4 linked regions of the Caenorhabditis elegans genome follow. The protein of the gene in region 3 purifies or fractionates together with the protein of the main gene of each other region. This does not show direct contact. Each region holds a gene or a part of one and is shown on either strand. Other genes may lie near its edges. The genes, in order: Y54E5A.2, T26A5.6, pyc-1 and nuo-5.

What was found.
Region 1: the proteins of pyc-1 (region 3) and Y54E5A.2 fractionate together in Caenorhabditis elegans (co-fractionation; one large-scale study listed by BioGRID). This does not show direct contact.
Region 2: the proteins of pyc-1 (region 3) and T26A5.6 fractionate together in Caenorhabditis elegans (co-fractionation; one large-scale study listed by BioGRID). This does not show direct contact.
Region 4: the proteins of pyc-1 (region 3) and nuo-5 fractionate together in Caenorhabditis elegans (co-fractionation; one large-scale study listed by BioGRID). This does not show direct contact.

The regions. Positions count from the first base shown.
Region 1 is NC_003279.8:14,692,359-14,700,164, reverse strand, and holds the start of Y54E5A.2 (Recep_L_domain domain-containing protein), read right to left. Parts: upstream 6,012-7,806; 5' UTR 5,996-6,011; coding exon 5,926-5,995; intron 5,851-5,925; coding exon 5,576-5,850; intron 4,845-5,575; coding exon 4,613-4,844; intron 3,722-4,612; coding exon 3,627-3,721; intron 3,581-3,626; coding exon 3,463-3,580; intron 2,990-3,462; coding exon 2,818-2,989; intron 2,725-2,817; coding exon 2,697-2,724; intron 2,221-2,696; coding exon 2,042-2,220; intron 1,410-2,041; coding exon 1,307-1,409; intron 1,260-1,306; coding exon 1,162-1,259; intron 916-1,161; coding exon 664-915; intron 180-663; coding exon 118-179; intron 1-117.
Region 2 is NC_003281.10:6,447,498-6,452,549, reverse strand, and holds T26A5.6 (UDENN domain-containing protein), read left to right. Parts: upstream 1-1,858; 5' UTR 1,859-1,864; coding exon 1,865-1,921; intron 1,922-2,255; coding exon 2,256-2,453; intron 2,454-2,500; coding exon 2,501-2,738; intron 2,739-2,815; coding exon 2,816-2,971; intron 2,972-3,017; coding exon 3,018-3,340; intron 3,341-3,396; coding exon 3,397-3,743; intron 3,744-3,791; coding exon 3,792-3,925; intron 3,926-4,119; coding exon 4,120-4,220; 3' UTR 4,221-4,538; downstream 4,539-5,052. Other genes in the region: Histone-lysine N-methyltransferase set-1, read left to right, coding at 194-357, 491-729, 784-971, 1,060-1,197.
Region 3 is NC_003283.11:11,817,259-11,824,226, forward strand, and holds pyc-1 (Pyruvate carboxylase 1), read right to left. Parts: upstream 5,108-6,968; 5' UTR 5,095-5,107; coding exon 4,993-5,094; intron 4,943-4,992; coding exon 4,736-4,942; intron 4,692-4,735; coding exon 4,265-4,691; intron 4,219-4,264; coding exon 3,602-4,218; intron 3,456-3,601; coding exon 3,109-3,455; intron 3,062-3,108; coding exon 2,301-3,061; intron 2,257-2,300; coding exon 1,583-2,256; intron 1,523-1,582; coding exon 1,280-1,522; intron 1,022-1,279; coding exon 872-1,021; 3' UTR 525-871; downstream 1-524. UniProt on the Caenorhabditis elegans protein: Pyruvate carboxylase catalyzes a 2-step reaction, involving the ATP-dependent carboxylation of the covalently attached biotin in the first step and the transfer of the carboxyl group to pyruvate in the second.
Region 4 is NC_003283.11:2,697,268-2,702,000, forward strand, and holds the start of nuo-5 (NADH-ubiquinone oxidoreductase 75 kDa subunit, mitochondrial), read left to right. Parts: upstream 1-1,704; 5' UTR 1,705-1,710; coding exon 1,711-1,803; intron 1,804-3,007; coding exon 3,008-3,760; intron 3,761-4,733. Other genes in the region: Y45G12B.2 (Zinc finger protein-like 1 homolog), read left to right, coding at 1-186, 1,191-1,313.

The sequences.
Region 1 (7,806 bases), on a different chromosome or scaffold from region 3:
GAAATTCAGCATTTTACTTTCATTAGACGCGATAAGTTTTCAGAAGTATTAAATTATTGGAATTTTTTGTTGTAAATTCTCACTATTTCAATTTTAATTTTCTTCAAAAACTCTTACCAGCAATTGCCAGCGCCCAATAGAATACAGTATTTTGTATTGCAGAAACCTTCTCGTCAACTCTGAAAGTTCGAAATTTGTTATCAAATATATATTCCCCAAAATTCCAAATTCCATGAAAAGCCTCAAAAAATTCTGTAAAATCGATATTTCTGAAATATCCCGAAAATTCTAAAATCAAAAATTTTTTTTAAAAATCGCATTTTTTTGAATTTTTAAACCTTAAAAAAATTTGAAATTTTTCCGACGTTTTTTCGGACGTTTTTCAACTTTTTTTTTAACTATTCAGACTTTTCCAAAAATTATTTGGCAATAAATCAAACTCCAGGAAATTCTGGAAAATCGATAAAATTCCATTATTTTCAAAAAAAACATTAATTTCCCAGAATTTTCCCAACTAGTAGCAATTTTCGAAAAATTCTGAAAATTGAAAAAAATCGAAATTGTTAAATGTTATAAAAAGTTTCAGGGAAAATTGGAAACATTTGAAAATTGAAAATCTGAAAAAGAAAATCTGAAAAATTCCCAAAAAATTTCCAAACTCACTTTAAATTATGAAAAGTGATTCGAACCTTCTTCCGTTCCTTCGCCAAAATCAAATCAATTTTCATGTGCCACGTGGAAAAGTCAAGAATGAGTAGCTCGCCGCCACGTTGCACGGTTCCCTGCAGCAGACACGGGCGGTTCTTATCGTATTTTTTGGGTTTTCGAAGATCAATTCTCCATTTGGCGGACGTGGTTCGCATATCGTGAACTTCTGAATCCATTCGGATACGGAGATGTTGGTGGGCTCCGACGCTGAAAAATCGATAATTTTGCTCCTGATGATGTAAAAGCGCTCTATCGAACAAGTAGGCATTTTTGTGGAATCGATAATAAAAAATCGATATTGTTAATATCGATTGTTCCAGAAAATTTTGCGATAGAGCACAATTGCATCCGATTGACAATAATTTCCTAATCAAATTTAAACATGATCGAGTCCTTATCAATGTCTCCCATTTTGCAATTGCGCTCTACTGAACTAAGGAAGCAAAAACCCACGTCACTTTCATATTATCCATTCCAACGAGCACATCGATAAATTGCACTTGCTGACACGAATCGGAAACTTGCTCCTCGGATTCCACGTGGACGTCTTCCTAAACGTAGGTATGCCTACATGCCTGCCTGTCTACACTGAACTTACCATCGAAATATTGTGGCACTTGGCCCACTCGTAGCAATTCGTCTTTTGAATATTCGACTTGCAGGACTCTAATTCGATGAACATTCCAGACGTGAATTTGTGCCTGGAAACAGCAGTCGTATCAAAAAAACTGTTAATTGCCAAAATGTAGAGAATTCGATTTCCTATATTTTGTCCATTTACAAAATTTCATTAGCTTTGCTTTCCGCAGAGTTATAAGCGTTTTAAGTTTGCAAGGTAAGTGAGAGAGTGTGTGGCGAGGGGAGAGCGCAGACACCGCAGAAACTTTAAAGCGGTGTATCTCAAAATTGAAAAATGCTCAGAATTTCATGCTCTACAAGATGGGCGAAAAAGATTTTGAAACTTTGGAAAAAAAAAAGTTTTTTAGCATTTTTGAGAAAAATTTCAGCGGGCTTTATCTCGGTGGTAATAGGAGCTACATAAAAGTTGTCAACTAACAATTTGTAGAAAATTTTATGTAGTTTATTTTATTAATTAAAACAAATATTCTGCCTCCCACCCACGCAAAAATACACCTGTTTTTATGATTTCTGTAGCTCCGAATCCGTAAGAGCTACAGAAAACTTGTCAACTAGAAATTTCAAGCAAATTTAAAGTAGTTAAGTTGATTAATTGATACTTTCTTCGTATCTCATTTTTGCGCAAAGATATGGGGGTTTTAAAGAAGCTTTTAACCACCTCCCCTCAAAACCTAAAAATTCCCTTTCAACTTACCCAGCAGCCTTGTTAGCTACAATGAACTTTGGCACCAAATCACTTCGGATATCTCTTAAAATATCCTCAAGCACAATTCTTTTCAACAATGACGAGAACAATGGAATTCCCTGATGAGCATACGGAGGGATTGAGAGCAGTCTGTGAAGTTGGTTCAGTGACTCGCTGGGTTGGTTGGGCTGGAAATTGAAATGGTGAGAGGTGATGGGAATTGTAAAACGAACACTTTGTAGAGAATTTAATTTTCTACAAGTTGCTATCATAGATAACAACTTTTTGATATCAAGTATCTGAACGGGATTAGACAGGTTTTGGGCTAGTCTTCTGGGGGAAGTGAAGCGCTATCTCAAAACTCCTATAACTCGGAGAATTTTGTAGGTGCCAAAAAGTAGTTAACTAAAAGTAGTTAATTCTATAAAGAATCTAATTTGCTACATTTTGCTAGCTAACAATACTTTGAGATCTTACATCTGAACGGAGCTAGAAAGCTTTCGAACTATCTTGGAGGAACTCCTGTATCTCCGCAAAGTTACCTAGCTATCAAAAAGTTGGTAATCTGTAGAGAAATTAATTTCCTACAACTTGTCAGTTGATAACTATTTGGTAGCTTGTACTATTACAAAGCTACAGCCACTTCAAATAACTTCCATCTTACCTGCGCTTCCTTTTCCATTTTCCACTTCCTAATCGACAAATGCCCAACTCGGGTGCGAGCGGAATATTGATTTTCATTGAAAATTTTAAATATGTACTAAAAATAAGAGGTGAAAACTGACCAATCACTAGCAGTCTCATAATCATGTCCACAGATTGAGGTGGGACAGCAGCACGCCGAACAGCAACCCCAATCATCCCAGGAGATGAACAATTGAATATTGTTCTTAGTGTCGTTCACAGAGTTTATTGAAATTTCCAGAGACTCGTAGTTTTCGTAGGTGAAGATTTTATCTGAAACTGTATTTTCAATGGAATTCTCTATATTTTGTCATCTGTCAACTAATTGCCAGAATTTTGATATCTTCCTGATAAATTAAAATGAAAGGGTTGTTAACTAGGGATCCATAAAGAACGTTATATGGATTTTGGAATTTCTGAGTTTTTTCCTTAAAAAATGATCACACGAAAAAGTTGCCAACTAACAAAATATGCTCATTAAAATTCTATACATTTCGGCAGTTGACAACTCTTTGATAGCATTCCTCTGCGCAAAGTTACAAGCTTTCAAAGTTTTCCCAATGCGAGAGTGTAGAGGAGAAGGAGAGCGCTGGCAGTGTCTGCACTCTCCCCCTCCTCCGCGCTCTCTCGCTAATAAAACTTCAAAGCGGGGTATATCTCGGCGGGGAGTAGAGATAGAGAAATCATGGAAAACGAAGAAAGAATCAGAATTTGAATTTCTATACGATAAAGTCAATAAAGCTTACCATTCTGCTCTCCGTCCCCAATAATATCCTCATTCACAAAGTTATAGCTGCTCACAATTTTACCATTCAACTCAATTCCACACATTGTAGTAAATCCTTCAATTTTTCGAGAATGAATCTGTAAATTTTTGAGTTTTTCAGAGAGTAAAGTCCTGGAAACCAACCGCCAGCTCTCCATTGGGGAGCCCTATAGCTTCTCTGTCGGTTTCAGTGGCTCCATGCTCTCCACTCCATCTTGTCACCTTTCCAAAATGCAGGTCTGTGGAAGGTGTAGTTTGGCAAAAGATATAAAAAGGAAAACGGCGTCACAGGGACTGGAATCAAAAATGTGCTCACAATAATTTTCAGTTAATTTGGCTCAATTTCGGGATGATTTACAGATATAAGCTAGTTCTAGATAAACTATACAAGCTTCAAAAGTACTAAGCTTAGGGTTTTTAATGGTACTACATTATTTTAAGTATGATGAAGCTATTGTTTATGGTGCATGATTTGTGGATTTTTAAGCAAAATAGCCTGTAAAATTTTGTAAAGAAAGCTCCATCGGCTGCTCAGATACGAGCTTAAACACCAAGTGGCACCAAAAAACTTGCTAAAAGCCATTTACAACTTAAAAAAATAGCCCGCTCAGTAGCTTCATGTCGGGCTTAAAGGTCATAAAAAGTTGAAAATCAAGCTTTTGCAGGTTTCCAGTTATTTCGATGATATGAAAAACAAAAATTACACCACCAAATTACTACATTAAATGTATTTTTGAAACTGAAAAATTTTATGCTTCTTGAAAAAATGAGAATTTTCGGCGAAATTGTCGAAAATCGCAGGGGGGGGGTCCCATAGCAGTTGGGCGGTCGATTTTTCAACTTTTTGCTCTTTTGCACTCAACTTTTGAGATATCATGATAAAATTATAGATCCATAGGTTTTTTGGTATGCTGATTCCAATTCCAATACTAGTTTTCTATAAAAAAGTAGCTGTTGGGTGCACTGTACCTACTAAGCACCTTAGGAGTACCCTTGAGAGATAATGAAGGCTTGTGATATGTATGCTATGCTTAACTAGACTCATTGAATTCAGAAATAAATTTCTGATACTTTGAGGGTAATTTCAGCTAGTTCGTCTAATTTTCAGCCAAGTTAAATAATACACTCACTATTAATTCTCAAGTAATCCTGAAAATTCGAGACACGTGGCTCCTGTTCACAATCCTCCCGACTACAATAGTGCAATAAATTATTGATTTTTCGAGAGCCGATCGTCAATTTCGTGAAAATCTGAGTGAAATCACGTTCCGGGAATACGTAGTACATTTGATGGAGACCTTCAATTATCGGATGACACGTGGCACATTGCGGTTGGTACGGGAGGCCCGCTTCGCGAGTTTTCTGCAAAATAACGTTGATTTTGATGCAGGGGCAGCGTTTTCTGGAGAATTTAAATATCGGGGGAAGGCGATCTCAAAAAAAAAGGGGCGGGAAAAACAATTGAAAATTTACGCTCCGCCCCTATAACAGGTCTAAATTTTGAACTTTTACACTCAAATCTACAAAATTTTATAGAAAAAAAACGGTTTTTTTCATGTGAATAAGCCCGCAAAAGATAATAAAACACGTGGTCAGAGTGTCCCATTTCGGTGTGATCTTCAAAAAATGCGGGAATTGAGTCGCAGATTTCTCAACAAATTTTGTAAGTGTGCTGGCGACACATTTTACTGGGCAAAAAATTTCCGCATTTTATTGTAGATCATTCAAATTTACGCTACGCCTCTATAACATGTCTAAATTTTGAACTTTAACACTAAAATCTACAAAACTTTATGGAAAACGCCTGACACCACGTGTAAAAGTGCGCTTCACCAAATTTATTTTAATCATTTTTTTTTCTCTTTTGCTCATGAAATGAATTTGCTCACTAGAAACATATAAAATCTAGCAGAAAAACAGCTGCATTTGTCTATGATCTTAAAAATTGATTAAAACTGGTCTTGGCACGATTCGCGAGTGTGCAAACGCGCTCCACCGAACTTTTGCCGTTTTTATAGATTTTTAGGCCCGAAAAGCTAAAATTCAACAATATTATATAAAAATTATCGAATAAATAGAAAAAAAAATTAAACCTGAAAAATGCGAAATCCAATATTAAAGAACCCGTTAGAATCACACAATTCCTTTGATATATGAGGAATTCGAAACGCCGGATTCGATATAAAATATGGTAATTTGTGATAAATCGTCTGATTCCCATTTAACCATCCCAGTGAGTCGAATTCCAAGATTTTTCCGTCGAATAGTATATTGTTGTACTTGTGAACGTTCAGGTAATTCTCAAATCTCCACGTGTCTTTTGATAATGGAATTGAGGAGTACAGGGAGTAGAGTTCCGCTCGTCTTTCTGAAAAAAAAACAGTAGATTTGAGACTTTGCAGAAAGGGGCTGCAAACGCGCTCCAGCGAAGAGGTCTCCTTACCAAACTCGATAACAATTCCATGCACTGTCGAAAAAAGCATAAGTTTCAGAAAATTGAACAACAAAACCATGGTTGGTTTGGAGAAATGAAGCAGATTGATTTTTCAATGGATTTAAAAAGTTTTTACGTGATAAATTATTTTTAAAAACATATTTTTTAAATAAATCGTATCGAAAATTTAATTAAAAATTAAATATACCCCGTGAAATTCTCTACATTTTGTTAGTTAAACACTTTTTGATAGCATTTCTCTGCGTGAAGTTGTGAGCGTTTGAAGTTTTTTGGGGTGAGAGAGTGTGGGGGAGGGCGAGAGTGCAGAGAGATATACTGCCTGCACTCTCCTCTCCCTCCACGCTCTCAACACCGAAACTTAGAAGAGGTGTATCTTTGCAGAGAGGAAAGATACAAAAATATTGTAAAAAGGAAAAATGTTCAGAATTTGATTCTCTATATATTGCAATAAAAACAAATTGTTCGGAGTTTTTTTTAGTTTCTTGTTTTTTTTTCCTGAAATTCAAACTAAAAAGTGTATTTGAGCAGTGTTTTGCTCTACAAAGATATTCTGCATTTATTGGGTAAGAGCCAAAAGTGCCATATCTAACCGGAAGCTTATTCTACCAAATTTTACTTAACTAACAAAATATACGCCTTGAAATTCTGTACATTTTTGCAATTTACAATATTTTAATTGCACTCCTCTGCTCAAAGTGACAGGCGTTTTAAGATTGGCGGGTGAGAGAGCGCGAGGGAGGGGGAGAGTGCAGACACTGCCTGCGCTCTCCCCCTCCCCCACACTCTCTCACCCGCCAAAACTTCAGCGTGGTGTAACTCGGCGGGTAGGAAAGATAGAGAGGTAGTGTAAAAGACAAGAATGTGTAGAATTGGATTTTCTACTGGATAACGTTTTGAGTTTTAGCATTTATGAAATTTATGAAAAATGAATGTTTGAATTTGAATTTTCAATTTTTAGTTTTCCAAATGATATTTCATAATGTTTCCGTCTAGTTTTCATTATCAATTTCCCTATACTCTACTGTCTGAAACTGTTTGTTTTACCACGAAAATGACCAATACCTAGTGAATCATTGGAAAAAAAGAGCATCGCTTCCCTCTCCCGTCTCGCTCTCAAAACACACACACACACAGTTCCTTCCTTTCTATTTGCATGTATAGTTGCATTCTCTACGCAATAAGTCCACCTTTCCGTATGTGTGTGCTCCAAGAGCAACGGAAACTGGATTCAGGTGGTTGCTAACCAACCAATTTCCCCCTCTGGCTTTTCATCCTATAAGGTTTCCAATTTATCACTTTTTGTCTCAGAGAGCATATGTGCCTTTGAATTTATTGAAAAATATAAATTTTTAGTTTGAAAATGTGCAACCTTTGCTAGATGTTTTGCTTTAAAAAGCACTCGCGCTATTTTTTACTTGTTTGTGCGTGGTTTTACGAATTTTTAACTAAATATTTCTTAAGCCCCCTATATCTTCCTGAAAAATGAAGATATCAAAATTTTCTCAGCCAACAAAATATTCTCCTCAAAATTCTCTACATTTTTGCAGTTATCATTGTTTCTCTACCTCTTTTTTCCACAGAGTTACACGCGTTTCAAATTCGACGGGGTGAGAAAGTGTGGGGGAGGGGAGTGCGCAGACACTGCGCTCTCTCCCTCTTCCACACTCTCTCGCCTTCAAAACTTTGAAGCGGTGTATCTCTGCAAGTAAGATAGGTAGAAGCATACTGTAAAAGCAAAATTGTGTAGAATTAGATTTTCTAAAAGATTGTAAAGTTTTGGAAATTTTTTTTTTTTTAATTAAATGTTTTTTTTTTCAAAATTTTCAAAAAGTTACACCACTTCTCAATGTAACTCAATTCCAAATTCCT
Region 2 (5,052 bases), on a different chromosome or scaffold from region 3:
TGAATATCTGGGTTTTTGAAACAACACATTATAATATTTTTACCCAACCATTTCAAAACAAAAAAAATAAATTGTGGGCGAATATTTCTATTATTTCTATGACACCTCTTTTGCTTCTTTATAAATTTCTCTATTTTTACTATTCTCCTCACCCTACAAAATTTATTATTTTTTCAGCGGTGTCACTCGAAGGATGAAAGTTGCCGCGAAGAAGCTGGCAACGAGTAGAATGCGAAAGGATCGTGCCGCAGCAGCGTCACCATCTAGTGATATTGAGAACTCCGAAAATCCATCGTCTTTGGCTTCACACTCTTCATCTTCAGGAAGAATGACACCGTCGAAAAACACAAGGAGCAGGTATGATTGATTAGTGACAAGAGGGATTGTAATAGAACGTTTAAAAACTTCAATATTTCTAATTGAATTCACAACATATTCACAGAAATTGTCCAAGCTGAAAACTTCAATTTCCAAATAGTTTTTCTTTCAGAAAAGGAGTGTCGGTGAAAGATGTCTCAAACCATAAAATCACAGAATTCTTCCAAGTGCGGCGAAGTAATCGGAAGACGAGCAAGCAAATTAGCGATGAAGCTAAACATGCTCTTCGCGATACCGTACTCAAGGGGACTAATGAACGACTTCTTGAAGTGTACAAAGATGTTGTGAAGGGGCGAGGAATTCGAACGAAAGTTAACTTTGAAAAAGGAGACTTTGTTGTCGAATACAGAGGTATGTAGATAACACAGATAATTGTTGTAATATTGTTTTTAAAAAGTATTCTAGGTGTTATGATGGAGTACTCGGAAGCAAAAGTGATAGAAGAACAATATTCGAATGATGAGGAAATCGGATCCTACATGTACTTTTTTGAGCACAACAATAAAAAATGGTGTATCGATGCGACAAAAGAATCTCCATGGAAAGGACGACTCATCAATCATTCCGTGTTAAGGCCGAATCTCAAAACGAAAGTGAGCATTTCAAAATTTGAAATTTATTAAGAAAGTCTTTGATAAATTAAAAAAATGTAAATAACAATTCCAAAACTAAACATTCCAGGTGGTGGAAATCGATGGGTCGCATCACCTGATTCTCGTCGCCAGGCGTCAAATCGCACAAGGAGAAGAGCTTCTCTACGATTATGGAGATCGTTCAGCAGAGACGATTGCCAAGAATCCATGGCTTGTGAACACATAATATGTTGCTCCACAACATCTCTTCGATCTGCTCAATCCATTTCAAATGTTCATTTACCTTCACGAGTATACTACTGTAATTCCCTTCATTTTCTCATATTTTCCACGGCACTCGTGCCCAATCCTCTCATTACTTCGTCTCTTTCAACCGCCTTTTCTCATTCTCACAGCGAATCAAACCTGAAACAAATCTCAATAACGAGCCGTAATAACGTGCTCATTTATGATAATCTGGATCTCGTGAGTATCCAATTCTGTACCTTTCCTGTTGACTTTTGAAAAGTCCCTTGTTCTTTCCTTTCATTGAAACCTGAAAATCTCCTCACTTGTTCCACTACGAAATGCCTTTAATATCTTTAATTCTTCTGTAAATTTCTCGTTGATCGCCCATTTTTTCCTGAATTATTCATTTTTGTGGTGTACATGAGGTGCGAGTTGGAAACCTACTTTAATGACTGGTTAACGCTAAAATCGTTTCCATCCCTATCGGAAAACATTATCAGCGTGCAAATCTCAATTTTTCATTTTGAAAACAATTAAAATCCATAAATTTTGCTACATTAATCTTTTTTTACGAGTATATTCCGTTTTCCGGTATAGCAACCATAAGAATTTATCTGAAGATGGTAAAATTCGGGAAAACATTAGAGCTTACAGTTCAGAGAAAGATGCATCCAATTCTGAATGTGGTCGTCGTTAGTTTCCATCACAAGCGAGGATGTGAGGTAACAAAAATGGCAAACTATCAGAAAAATCAGGAAAATATGATACATAAAAGAATAAACTCGAAAACGTAACGATTAAGGTCATAAATGTGCAGGAAAGTAATAAAATGGCAATATAAACTACAAAATCGCGTATATTTTGCAGTTAATTTGAAATAAATGTTACAGTCAATCGAACATTTCACAAAAAGCAGAACGTTTTTGGTACTTTTTACTATTTTTGCAGTATTTTTCATATACATTTAATTATTAAGTTTTGTATTATATGGAGTGAAGATTTAAATTCAAGTTCATCAACTCAATTTGTAAAAAATCAATAAAATAAATCTTGTAGGTAGAATACTCGCACCCGAAACTCGATGGCACGGGCGAATCGGGATTACCCGATGAATGGCATCTTCTTCCATCACTGGCGTTGCCGGATGGTGTACATAATTGTCAAAAAGATACAATATTCTTTTTGCTTCCATCTAGAGAAGAACCTGGAAAATCGATATTTGGCATCTCGTGTTACAGACAAATCGATGCAAAAGTGAGATTTTATATGACTCTTCAGATAAAAACTGTTTGACTTTGCAGGAATTAATAAATAAATCGGAAGATGTGACTAGGACCAGTGTTCAAAAAGCTGTATGCGTTCTTTCAAGAATACCACTTTTTGGTCCATTAAAAGCAAAATTGGAAGTAATAACTCAGGCATATTTTGAACAAAAAGATTTTTCGAAAGTTGATGTTCTTGCTCAAATGTATACGAATCTTTGCGATATATTCGACGAAAATCTTACTGGAGAATACTTTTCAAATCTAGCTCATCATGGTACGTTATTGAATCAATTTACTAAAATAAAACATGAAAATAGTTTCAAATGTTCACATTTTAATTAGCGATATCAGTTTCAGAAATATCAATTCAAGAGCTTTTTATACGATTCCGTCACCGAGCTCTACTGCTTTTTAAATTATTCCTATTAGAGCGGAAAGTTTTATTCATTGCACCAACTGGATTACGATTAGGAGAAACTATGCTGGCTATTGTTTCAATGTTTCCAAGTAAGAATATACAGACATTTTAAAATCGTTTAATTTTGAATTTCAGAGCTTTTGGAAGAAGGTCTGTTCTACGCAACAATCGGGGTCAATACGAGTTGTCATTTCAAAAATGTAAATTCAAAAACTGAAGGAAAAAGCGAAGAAATAGTGATAGAAGAGGAGGTTGGTGTTCAGCTTTCACATGATGATCCATTGAAAGAAAAGGATTCGTGTGGATTTCCTATAAGCTTATTCACACAAGGATCATCATTTGATCCATATCTATCAATTCAATCAATGGATTTAGTCCCGAAGACTCAGAGTTGTATATTTGGAGCTACGAATGCCTTATTTGCGATGAAAAAGGATTTATTTGATGTTATTGTGAAGGTTTGTATTTTAAATTAACAATTTTCAGGTTTCTAACTAAACTTGAGTAATTTCAGATCGAAGACGACGGTTCTCTTGTCCATAATCACATTGAATTTGTCAACGACACAGCATTGGAACGAGTAGTTTCTCTAACTACTGCAGATCTTCGATTCGCTGATTTTATTCTCAAAAAAGTCGAAGAACAGGTTAAATCCTCAAATGCTGAATTCGATGGATCAGATGAATGGATTCGTTTACAAATGAAAAACTATCTTCTTGGCCTCGTTGCCACGTCACGTTCCGATCTACAAGCAGCGATACCTCATTTTGGAATCGCTTTTGTAAACGAATGGCGGAGAACTAAAAATCACAAAATTTGGGTTGCAAACAAACATGAAGATTTAACATCTGTTGCGCCAGGGTGAGGAATTTCAGAACATGAATACATTTTTCAATCTGAATATTTCAGGCACATGTTCTCGGAACAAATGGGAGTCTATGACGTGTATCTTCGTTTTGAACATGCCGTAAATGGAGTTGAAGGAGCTTCAAAAGTTATTGGAACTGTAAATACTGCCGGAAAGAATTTAGGAAATACCATTGGTAATTTTTTTCGGGTTTGGAAATTAATATAGCATCTAAAAAATTTCGAGAAATGAAGTAGCAGTAAAAAATTGAGGGCATAGCTTTCATTGCTTTGAATTATTCAAAATGTTCAAAATTTACAAAACTGACATTTTGCCAAAACGAAAAAAATATTTTTAATACTAAAGTGATTAACTCGATCGTGTTTTCAGGAGAAACCGGTAGTCGAGTCAAAGCAAAATTCTCAAACTGGTGGAATCGAAAAGCAACCGCACAAGAAGGTGTTGAAGAGGCAGAGGAGCCATCTGAGTGATTTATTAAAGTCAAATATGTATAATGGGCATTTTATCATCTTTTAAAGTTTTTTATTGTAATTAGAATTTCTGTCATATTTCCTTTGTTTTGTTTGTGTTCCATTCAATTTGATCTCTTAATGATCGAATCGTTTTCATCCGGTTTATGTAAGTCTAATCAGTTTGTTTTTCATGTAATCAATATAACTATGCATTTGTTTAAACTCAAAAATTGGTTTAATATACGGGTGAAGATGAACATCCTTTTATATATTACTTTCTTCTAATGATAGAATTGTGATTTATGATCTGTGACCATTAATGTTTTGATTTTAAATACGTAGACAAGTTGAAGAGGCAAACAAATAACGTTTAATATTTAGTTGAAGAGAAAACTTTTTTTTCAAAAACTCGGATAATATTTTTTCCAGTTTTCTTATTCACATTTTAAAAGCACAATTTACAATTGATAATGTTAAAATTCAACAAACTTTTCAAACTTCCCAGGAACCCCCTACAAACTTTGTTTTCCTGTGACGTCACTAAGCTACCTTTGCACTGTAGACGTTCAGATTTGTAGTCTCTCCTCTTTTTGTCCCTCGTGGGAGACACATGTTCGTTGTACTTTGCCCTTTTGTCTACTCCTCTTATCTCTCCTTTCCTCTACACGTACGCAAAGATACACTTTACCCTGATTTTTTGCTTTTCTTTTCCGAAAATCACAACAATTATGTATTTTGTTTTCATTTGAGGAATACGTAGAAGAAAGTTATAAATTTTAGCTAAAATATTTAGAACTACAATTTTGTGACCCCAAAAATAATTCGAAAAATGTATCTTTGATAGTAAATC
Region 3 (6,968 bases):
AAATCAGTAGTAATTTTCAGACGCAAATATCTCGAGTTCTAGATGTCCGAGGCAAAAATGGTCTCTTACGTTGAAGAAGTACATAATATCAGCTATCGAATGGCACTAAATTTGTTTTAAAATTCTAAATTCTCTGAAACCATTCCCAAGTAAAATAAATAAAACTTTAAAACATACGTTTTCTTTTCAGATATTTCAGTCTCTATAATTTGTGTTTTGTTTTTTTTAAATTAAATGGCGTAGTGAATAGTACTATTTACACTAACGTAGGTATTATGTAGAAGTCTAAAGATAAACATTTTCCCCAGCAAACACGAAATTACTGTAACTCCTGTTGATTTATGAGTCTCCATTGCAACCTATTTTTATGTTAAAAATCTTCTCAGCAATAGTGGTCAGTAAAGTGAGACGAGCTAGCTCGCAGTTCGCGTGGCGAGACCAATGCGCGTATGATATGGCGACTCTTCCCATCATTAGATTTCTACGTAATAATTGATTTTATCGAGTTGCTTTATCGAGTTGCATTGCTCTTCGGTGAGTTTCAGTGATAAAATTGAGAGAGAAGTGAACGAGTTTATATTCTACACAAAGACAATGAGCACCCGATGCAATAAATACTTTTTCTAAGAAAACAATATAAATGCAAAAGTGGAGGGAAAACGAAAAATTACTGGCAATGAAGACGTTTAGAAAATTTTGGGGAGGCAATACACAGAATATACACATTGAGATGGTTCGAATGGCAAAGAGAAGGTGGTGGCTAATCATTCTATATAGCACAACGCCAAATATAATTTCGATGTGGCGGAATTTGTGATGGTGAATGGAATTAACAAAAAAAGAGACAAAATGCGAGTTTATTGATGTCAGTTCATGGTTCAACTTCAACTACCAAGTCTCCGGCACTACATTTGGTTCCTTGTGGTGCATGGATAGCCTTGACGGTTCCAGCAATTGGAGAGTCGATGACCATCTCCATTTTCATGGCGGAAAGCACAAATAGGGGTTGCTTCTTGGTAACCTGAAAAGAAATAATTCCTATATTCATTTTTTATGCCATCATTTTTTTATGTGATTTTTGTGTAGGACAAGAAGAAAAAACGTGGGAGGCATAAGGCTATAAATTTATCTCTTTCCGTTTTTCCCTACAATTTCCGTTGTGGGGCCCACCGCTTCTGAATTCGTCCCATTTGTCTTTTTTTGTTTTTCAAAGAAATTCAGAATACATATCCCGGATGCATGATTGATTTATTACATCTTTAGATATGCGTTGTATTACCTTGTCGCCTTCCTTGATTTTCAGCTCCAAAACATCTCCTGGCATTGGTGCTCCAATATGTCCACGGACACCTGGGAGAGCTCTTGGGCGAGTTACAATTTCCTTGGAAGCTTCCTTGTCAACCACGAAGATACTTCTCATTTGTCCATTGAGATCAAAGAAGACTTCGCGTTCTCCACGCTTGTTTAGTTTTCCTTCAGCGAGCAATTGAATTGCAAGAGTTTTTCCACTCTCGATTTCAACCTGAAATAAAATTCATAAGTCGTGAAATTCAGAAATGTAGATTAATGTAGAATCACTTACATCAACTTCTTCCGCAATCTCCAATCCAGTCAAGAAGAGTCTCGTTGGCAGCTTATCAACTGGTCCATATTGTTGACGGAAAGTCTCAAACTCATCGAAAACCGTTGGGAACATCGAATATGACATCACATCTTCTTCAGACAAAGTACGTCCATGTTTCTCTTCAAGTTCGACCTTCACAGCATCTAGATCAACTGGCTTAGCATTTTCTCCTGGCCTTCCATCGACTTTTGGCTTTCCACGAAGGACTTTAGTTCTCAATGGCTCAGGGAATCCATATGGAGGTTGTCCGACATTTCCTTGCATGAAATCAACGACACTTTTTGGGAAGGATAGATCATCGGCACGGTCGACAAGAGTTTCGCGAGTCAAGTTGTTTTGCACCATAAACTGAGCCAAGTCACCGACAATCTTGGATGATGGCGTAACTTTAATTATGTCGCCAAGAACAAGATTAGCTTCACGATACATACGCTTGACTTCATCGAACTGTGGCCCAAGTCCGAGAGAGAATGCTTGGAATTGCAAGTTCGTGTACTGTCCTCCTGGAATTTCGTGCTTGTAAACATCGGCATTTCCACTTTTCATGGTGGTGGCACATTCGAATGGAGCATAGAGTTGACGAGTTGACTCCCAGTATGCAGAATATTTTGAAATGTCATCAAGAGAAAGACCTTAAATATAAATTAGACATTTTTCAAACGATATTGTAACTCACCAGTATCATGTTTAGTTCCTTGAAGACTAGCTACAATAGCTCCCATTGAAGGCTGAGAAGTCATTCCACTCATGCTATCAACTGCAGCATCGACCACATCAGCTCCAGCTTTGGCACACTCAAGCATAGCAGCAACTCCAGCTCCAGATGTATCGTGGGTATGAACGTGAATTGGAATATCTGGGAACTTGTCTCGGAGAGCGCCAATCAACAACTTGGCAGCTTCCGGTTTCAGAACTCCAGCCATATCCTTGATAGAAAGAATATGCGCTTGAGCTTTGACAAGTTGATCAGCCAAGTTCAAATAGTATTTGAGGTCGTATTTGTCACGAGACTTATCGGTAACATCTCCAGTGTATGCGATAGCAGCTTCAACAACTCCACCGGCCTTTCCAACGGCTTCCATTCCGACGAGAAGATTTGGAAGATAGTTCAGTGAATCAAATACACGGAACACATCCATTCCATTTTTCACCGCCAACTCGCAGAACTTGTAAATAACGTTATCAGGATAATTTGAATATCCCATAGCATTGGCACCTCGCAGAAGACATTGGAATGGAATATTTGGAATCAGTTTGCGAAGAGTTTGAAGACGTTCCCATGGACACTCGTGGAGGAAGCGCATGGAAACATCGAAAGTAGCTCCTCCCCAGTTTTCAAGTGAGAAGAGACCATTGAATGATTGGGCAACAAAAGGTGAAATAGCAGCCATATCATAGGTACGTACTCGTGTTGCAAGAAGAGATTGATGTGCATCTCTGAAAATGTGAAATTAATATATGTTACTTTCTTTTTGAGTTTATACCTGAATGTAGTATCAGTGATCATACATCCTGGTCTACTGCGAACTTCCTTTGCAAACTCAGTTGGTCCTCTTTGAACAAGTACATCACGAAGTCCAGTCGGCGGTTTGGCTCCAGCTGGGATGTATGGGATCGGAGGAGAAACAACTGCTGGTTTCAGGTCAGTAGCAAGAGGAGTAGTTGGACCGTTCACCTTAACTTCTCCCAAATAGTTCAACAACTTTTGAGCACGGTTTTGGCTTGGTTTGAATTGGAACAACTCTGGATGCTCATCAATGAAATACGTATCGACGGATGCATCAAGGAAGCTGGGCTGGCGAAGAACGTTGAGCAGAAATGGGATGTTTGTCTGAAAAAGTTTAAAGTTTAGTCATTGATCAGCCATCAGGCAGAATATCAGTCAGTGGCAATGGGTTTCCTTATCAGTGAGAAAATGGTGATAGCTATCAACATGATTTGGTGTACTTTGATTTCATTTTTTGATTGAATTCTCACCTTTACGCCTCGGATACGGAACTTTTTGAGGGCACGAATCATTTTTGCGGCAGCGTTCGGATGATTTCTAGCCGATGCAATTACTTTGACCATCAAAGAATCGTAGTGAGGTGAAATGACTGATCCTGCGAAGGCAGATGCTGAATCAAGACGAATTCCCATTCCCTCTCCGGATCGGAAAACTTCAATTCTTCCGGAATCTGGCTGGAATCCTTTAGCTGGATCTTCAGTTGTGACACGACATTGAATAGCTGAGCCAGTAGTTTGAATAGTTTCCTGTGAAAGCTTCAGATCATCCAGAGATTTTCCTTCGGCGATACGAATTTGAGCTTGGACAAGATCCACACCAGTGATCTCTTCAGTTACTGTATGCTCGACTTGAAGACGTGCATTCACTTCGATGAAATAGTAGTTGCCCTTCTGATCAACCAGGAATTCGACTGTACCAGCATTTTGGTATCCAACATGTCTTGCAAGTCGAAGAGCGTCTGCCAAAATTTTCTCACGAACACCTTCTGGGAGAGCTGGCGCTGGAGCAATTTCAACAACCTTTTGATGACGACGTTGCACTGAACAATCACGCTCATACAAATGAACAATATTTCCATGATGGTCTCCTGAAAAATATATTATGTAATTATAATAGTTTCCGCTGAAACTAACCAAGCAGCTGAACTTCAATATGTCTTGGTCTCTCAACAAACTTTTCAACGAAAAGACTTCCGTCTCCAAACGCAGCTTGAGCTTCCGAGTAGGATCTACGGAATGCCTCTTCAACTTCTTCCAATTTATCAACACGACGAATTCCACGACCACCTCCTCCATAAGCGGCCTTCAAAATAATTGGTGTACCGTACTGCTTTGCAAATTCGACAGCTTCATCAGCAGTTGTAATTGGTCCAGGAGTTCCTGGAACGACTTGAACACCAGCTTCAATGGCAGCTTGACGAGCAGCAACTTTGTCTCCCATTCGAGCCATAACGTCGGGGCTAGGACCAATGAACACTATTCCTGCATTTTGACAAGCAGCTGCAAAGTCAGATCGCTCTGACAGAAATCCATATCCGGGATGAATAGCATCAATGTTGTGCTATAAAGGGTACGATAATCTTGGTCAATTTTTGTCCTACAAACCTTCAGGGCAGTTTCTATAATCTGGTCAATAGTCAGATAAGCAGCAACCGGTGGAAGACCTTTTCCTACAAGATAGGCTTCGTCAGCTTTCAGACGATGCATCGAGTTTTTGTCCTGCTCGGCGTAAATCGCAACAGAAGTTTTGTTCAATTCTGTGAGGGCACGGAACACACGGATTGCAATTTCTCCACGATTGGCCACCATAACCTGAAAAAATTTCCGAATTTATCTTCAAGCACGAAAAAGAAATGAAATACCTTGTTGAATTCTCTTGGTTTGATAACTCCATTGGCATAGTTACGATAATGTGTCTGTCGGACGACATTAGCGAAGATCGGTGGGATGCGGGAGAACCGCATCGTTGTCGTTTATCTGAAACATGCATAGTTTTGAGACGGTGAACCTATTCGGTGAATACAACCAATGAAGATTATTCAATAATGATAGTGTGAACATCGAAGAGACACAGAAACATTACTTTGGTGTACCTTCTACTGTGTGAGAGCAGAAAGCTCAAGAACGAATCGAAGTGTGGTAAACTTCTTCGGAATTCGGACATTATTTGAGATTTTTAGAAGTATCCACGTTGACCACGTGATAAATTAGAACGGTGAAAAATGTGAAAGGTCACGTACGCAGAGCAATAGAGATTTTGAAAAGACCAAGAGGTCACACCACATGAGAGTGAGTGTATGTATGAAGATACATTAATTGATTTAAAAATCATTGTTCATTCTCCATAGAACCACCTAGTGATATTTGTAGAGAAGAATAACAACAGTACTGATAACATTGATAGAATGATAGGAGAAGGGAAGAAAATAAAATATTTTGTTTTTCGATTTTCTAGGTTTTTTCGGTGAAATGAGATGTGAAAGAAGAACCACGTGGCATACCCAAGACCAGACGAAGAACCTAGAGAAAATAAGGAAAATTGAAAAAAATAAAAGTAAACAAAGAAGGAAGTTATCAGAAACTACAGAAACTACAGAAGCCACAGAACGTTCAACATTCAGTTTTGGATTTTTGTAAAATTAGAAAATTAGTTTTTAGAATGGTTTATGAGCATGCCATATTAAATATCTATTCCGCACGGCCAAATATTCCAATATTTTTTGCTGTTCTATCGTTAGTTTTTTTTTTTGATATCTCGGGGATTAGTGTTAATGGTGCGTCCATAGTCTGCGGAAAACGGGGAATTCCCGCGTGCGGAAGCGTCCATAGTCTGCGGAAAAAAACAAGGAGTTTCTCGCTTTGTTATTGGTCAATTTCAAAATAGTGGGCGTGTTCAACCAATTAGAGGCTGTAAAATTTTAAGCTGAGCAATGGGAAAACAAGAAACAACAGCTGATTGGTTGGCCACGCCTACTTTTTGAATTTTGAGGAAAAAAAAAGCGAGGAACTCCGGTTTTTCCGCAGACTATGGACGCTTCCGCACGCGGGAAATTCCCGTTTTCCGCAGACTATGGACGCACTATAATAATTTTTTTTAATTTTGCGGATTTAAAGATATAAAATGTCTTAGAGTATCACAATCAAGTTAAAAATTTGAAAAAAATCTAGATTCAAAGAGAACTAGATCAACACTTTGACCATGGCTATGAATTTGCGGCGACAACAAACTGATAGCCGAGAGACGGTGTTTGTGTCATTTTGTCTTATCAGTCGACTCGGGTGGACACTAGAACACAAAAACTGAGACGCAGAGGAGGAGGATAAATGATTTAAACTTCAGAACCTTCGATTTTTCAAAATGTCAAAATGTTCAAAACTGTTTTTGGTCGTAGTGGGATAGTTAATTTTCGTAAAGGGCTGAAAATAAAAATGATTTAATTAAGTTCACTTTAAAGATCAACATAATGATATTTAATGATCAATGAAACACATTTAATAAAATTAAACTGGCCAATAAACAAGATTTGGATTCCATTTAACGAAAGAATTTCAATGATAAAATTAGAAATTCAGGGTTGGAAACTGAAAGACTATGTGAAAATTGTTTACATAAATTTTATCTGATAGCTAGATTATCGCTGAAAATCGAAAATCTCAGAATCTATGAATTTTCGATCTATCATGACATGACTTATTTCGTACTAATCAAAACATCACAGAACCAGCTTCGATAAGTTTCAAATTTTGATCGTTCTTCGCACTTTCGGCAATCACTGGCGATCACGAGGTTGGCATAAGAGACTCGTAAACGTAGAGGAAAAAAGACTTGTGAGAAAGA
Region 4 (4,733 bases), 9.1 Mb from region 3:
CGTCCACTTTTACAGCTCCGTGACGCCGATAACGAGGAGAATAAATATAAACGGCGCCCGACGATGGATTGGATGCGCGGGCTCTGGAGAGCAAAACATGGCGGCTCCGGGGTCCCACAGGAACGGGCTTCCGCGAAAAAAATCGCGCTTTTCGTGATTTTCCTGGCCGTTTTGGCTTTGATTACGGTTGGATTTTAAAAAGCGACTTTTATAGACTCAAAAACGCCAAAAAAATATTTTTTCCCTGAAAAAATGGCCTAATTTTAGCTAAAATACATCAATTTCGCCGACTTTTCCGTGTTGCATCTGTCGGAAATTCGCTTTTATTTGATTTTATCACAGTTTATTTTCAATTTTTATCGTTTTTCTCACGTTTTTTTCGTTATTTAGTGTACATTTGAAGCATATAAACCGAAAACGACGTGAGGGCGGAGCCTAAACCGCAATCCTGCGGCGCGATGTTTCGCAACTCCACCGCGCGACTATTTTTTACAAGTTTTTAAGTTTTTTTTCGCATTTTTCGAATAAAATTTCCAGTATATCGTGATTTTTTCGAGATATTTCGATAAAATCTCATGAAAAAAAAATTTCGACTGACAAAAAAACAGCGCGGCGGAGTTGCGAAATCGCGCGCCGCAGAATTGCGGTCCAGACCCCGCCCACAATTTTTTGCGCTCAACGTCTGCCGTGTGGCTTAAAATGTACATTAAATAGCGAAAAAATGTGTAATAAACAATAAAAATATAAAATAAACGATGAAATTTCATGAAAATAAAATATAAGTCAATTTCCGACCGCTGCGACACGGAAAAGTCGGCGAAATTGGTGTATTTTAGCTAAAATTGAGCGATTTTGAGTATTTTTAAGCGAATTTTGAGCTTTTTGAGCAAATTTTGAGTGTTTTTAATCAAATTTCGCAAATTTTGAGTCATTTTGATCAAATTTTAAGGCTTTTTGAGCAAATTTATTGTCTTTTTGAGCAATTTTTTGAGTATTTTAGAGCAATTTTTGAGTATTTTTGAAGGAAATGTTAAGGCTTTTTGATCAAAGTTTGACTTTTTTTGAGTGAATTTTGAGTATTTTTGAGCGAATTTTATGGCTTTTTAAGCAAATTTTGAGTGTTTATGAGTCTTATCAAGCAAATTTAGATTCTAACTTCATTTAATTCCAAATAAATTGTATTTTTCCAGATTATAATGGTGATGAAGCGTGCCGGATACAGCGGCGAGCACTCATCGGACCCCCTTTTCGATCCAATGGCCAATCCGAATATTCGCGTCGCCGTCGAAGATTCTCGTCTTCCACACGTCTAAAAAATTTTTTTTTTTGAAAAAAATGTGCATATCCTTCCCTTTCTGTGTAATATTCAATGTCTACTCATTCCCCAACGAAAAAAAAAGTTTTTCGAAAAATTTTTTATTTTTACTTTCGCCTGCTAATGATGCTAACAAACGGGATTTTTTCTGATTTTTTTCGATTTTTTTCGCTAAAAACTAGCTAAAACTAGCTAAAACTTGGTTGTAATTAATTATTAATTATTTATTCTTTTTTTTTGCCCTATTTCTTGTATATTCGGTGGTTTAAATGGTATTTATTGATTTTTTTTCCTCTAAAAATTGAAATTCGGTTAATTTTCTACCGAGATTTATATTTATTTTCTCTCAATTTTTCGGAAAAAATTTCAGGAAGTAATTGCAATTTCAGAGCACCATGCATCGCGTCGGTGGACAAATTGTCCGCGGAGTGTCGAAGGCTCAACAGAAGAGATCGCTTTCGGTGGCGGCTCCGGCTCCACCGAAAAAGGTGAAAAAACTGGAATTTTCGGCGGAAAAATTGAAGAAAAATGGATTTGGCAAAAAAATAACGAATTAACTAGCGAGAAATTCAAAAAAAAAGCTTAATTTCATCTACAATCTCCAATTTTCCATCATTTTCCATTTAAAATTAGTGCCAGAATATAGAAAATCGCTCGATTTATCGGAAAATCACTTTGATTTTAGCTGAAATGTTGGAGAAAGCGCTCAAAAAGACAGTTTTGAGCTTTTTCTCAACTGTTTCATCCGAAATTAATGTGATTTTCTCGATGAATCGAGTGATTTTCTATATTTTGGCACTAATTATTAATTGAAAATTTTACAAAATACATGGTGCAATGATGTTTTACTAAAATCAAAAATGTTTTCGTTTTTCAATTAAAAAAATCGAAAAATTCCGTTTTTCGGTTCGAAAAATCAAAAATTTTTAGATTTTTCCTTTAAAAAACGGAAAATTTAGTTTTTTTAATTTCCGAAAAAAGAACAAATCGAAAAAGTACGTTATTTAATTTAAACAAAAATCTAAATTTCTTCGTTTTTCAATTGAAAAAAAAATCGTTATTTCCTGTAAAAAAATCAAAAATTTAGTTTTTCGGTTCAAAAATCGGAATTTTTTCGATTTTTCCTGTAAACATCGAATTTTTTTTTAAATGCTCGATTTTCTCTGACAATTTTTTTTACAAAAAAATAAAAATTATTCGATTTTTCCTGTAAAAAATCTAATTTTTTTTTTCAATTAAAATGATCGAAACATTTCGTTTTTAAATTTATCAACAAAAAAAACATAAAATGAAAAAAGCACGTTTTTCAATTAAAAAAAAATCGAAAAATTACGTTTTTCAATTTTAAAAAATCTAATTTTCCTGTAAAAAATCTAAAAATTTAGCTTTCAGTTCAAAAAATCAGAATTTTTTCGATGATTTTTCCTGTAAAAAATCGAAAATTCGTTTTTTTTTCAATTTTTAAAAATATATCGTAAATATATATTTTTCGATTTTCCGGAACCTAAAAACCCAACATTTTTTTCAATTAAAAAAAAAAAAAAACGAAACAAATTTCTTCCATTTTCCGAAAACAAAAAACTTAAAAAAAAAATTTTTTTTCGATTTTCAAATAAAAAAAATCGAAATTTTTCGATTTTCCCTGTAAAAATCAACAAAAAAACCACTAAAAATCACCTCATTTTCTTCCAGGTCGAAGTCTTCATCGACGACAAAAAAGTGCTCGTCGACCCGGGAATGACGATTCTCCAAGCGTGCGCGCTCGTCGGCGTCGACATCCCACGCTTCTGCTATCACGACCGTCTCTCAATTGCCGGAAACTGCCGAATGTGTCTGGTAGAGGTGGAGAAGTCGGTGAAGCCTGTCGCATCATGTGCGATGCCTGTCATGAACGGAATGAAAGTCAAAACCAACTCGGATTTCGTGAAAAAAGCTCGCGAAGGGGTGATGGAGTTCATGCTCAACAACCATCCACTCGACTGCCCGATTTGTGATCAAGGTGGCGAATGTGATCTACAGGATCAGGCGATGAATTTCGGATCCGATCGTGGGCGGCTTCAGTCGAGATTCGATGGAAAACGGGCTCTCGAGGATAAGAATATCGGGCCGTTGGTGAAAACTGTGATGACTCGATGTATTCAGTGTACTCGATGTGTCCGATTCGCTAATGAAGTGGCCGCTTTTCCGGATTTCGGCACCACCGGACGAGGACAAGATCTTCAAATTGGCACCTACGTCGAGAAATTTTTTGCTTCAGAGCTCTCTGGGAATATTATCGATATTTGTCCGGTCGGAGCTCTTACCAGCAAGCAGTACGCGTTTACGGCCCGGCCCTGGGAGACTAGAAAGACTGAAAGTGTTGATGTGATGGATGCGACCGGATCGAATATTGTGCTTTCGCATCGGACTGGCGAGCTTCTGCGGGTTATTCCGAAAATCAACGATGTACGGAGTTTTGAAACGAATTTTTTGGAAGACATAGCTTTGAAAATTTTGAAGAAGAATCGATATTTTTCGAATGTCGAAAAAAAAATTGTATTTTTGGCCATTTTTCACTTTTTTTGGAGAAAAAATCGATATTTTTCAATTTTCTCTGAAAAAAATCGAAAATTTACAGATTTTTTGAATTTTGATAATTAAAAAGTTGAAAATTGTGTAGTCTAGTTTGGAACAGGGGTGTGCGGCAAATGGAAAAAATTGCCGAGCTCGGCAAATCGGCAATTGCTGGTTTTTCAAAATTTGCCGAGCTCGGCAAATTCGGCAAATCTCTTTTTTCAATATTTGCCGAGCACGGCAAATTCGGCAAATTTGCAGAGCTCGGCAAATTCGGCAAATTCGGCAAATTTGCCGTGCTTAACAAACTCGGAAAAATTTGATATTTTTTATGTTTTGTGGAGCACCAAAACTACTGAATTCTTAACACACATCTGGTTTCTGAATAAGTTCCGCGTAGTATGTCTGTTTAAGCATCAAAATAGCTCAATTTTGTGTCATTTTACTAAATTTTTGGCTAAAAAATCAATAGTTTTATTCAAAATTGTACTGTCAAATTTTTCACGTGTGCGGCAAATTTCGAAATTTGCCGAGCTCGGCAAATTCGGAAAATCTACTTTTTTGAAAATTGCCGAGCTCGGCAAATCGGCAATTGCTGGTTTTTTTAAATTTGCCGAATTCGGCAAGTCGGCAATTTTCGGCAAATCGGCAAATTTGCCGCACACCCCTGGTTTGGAATAAAAAATTGTTCGGCAACATTTTACTTTTTATGAATTTTTAATGCTTTTTGAGCTGTTATCGGTAAAAATCGATTTTTTTTTCAGAGAAAATCAAAAAAAAAATCTAATTTTCTGAAAATAACTTAAAAAGCTTATTTTCGATAAATAAATTCATTTAAAGTAGATATTTGCCGGAAAATTTTTTT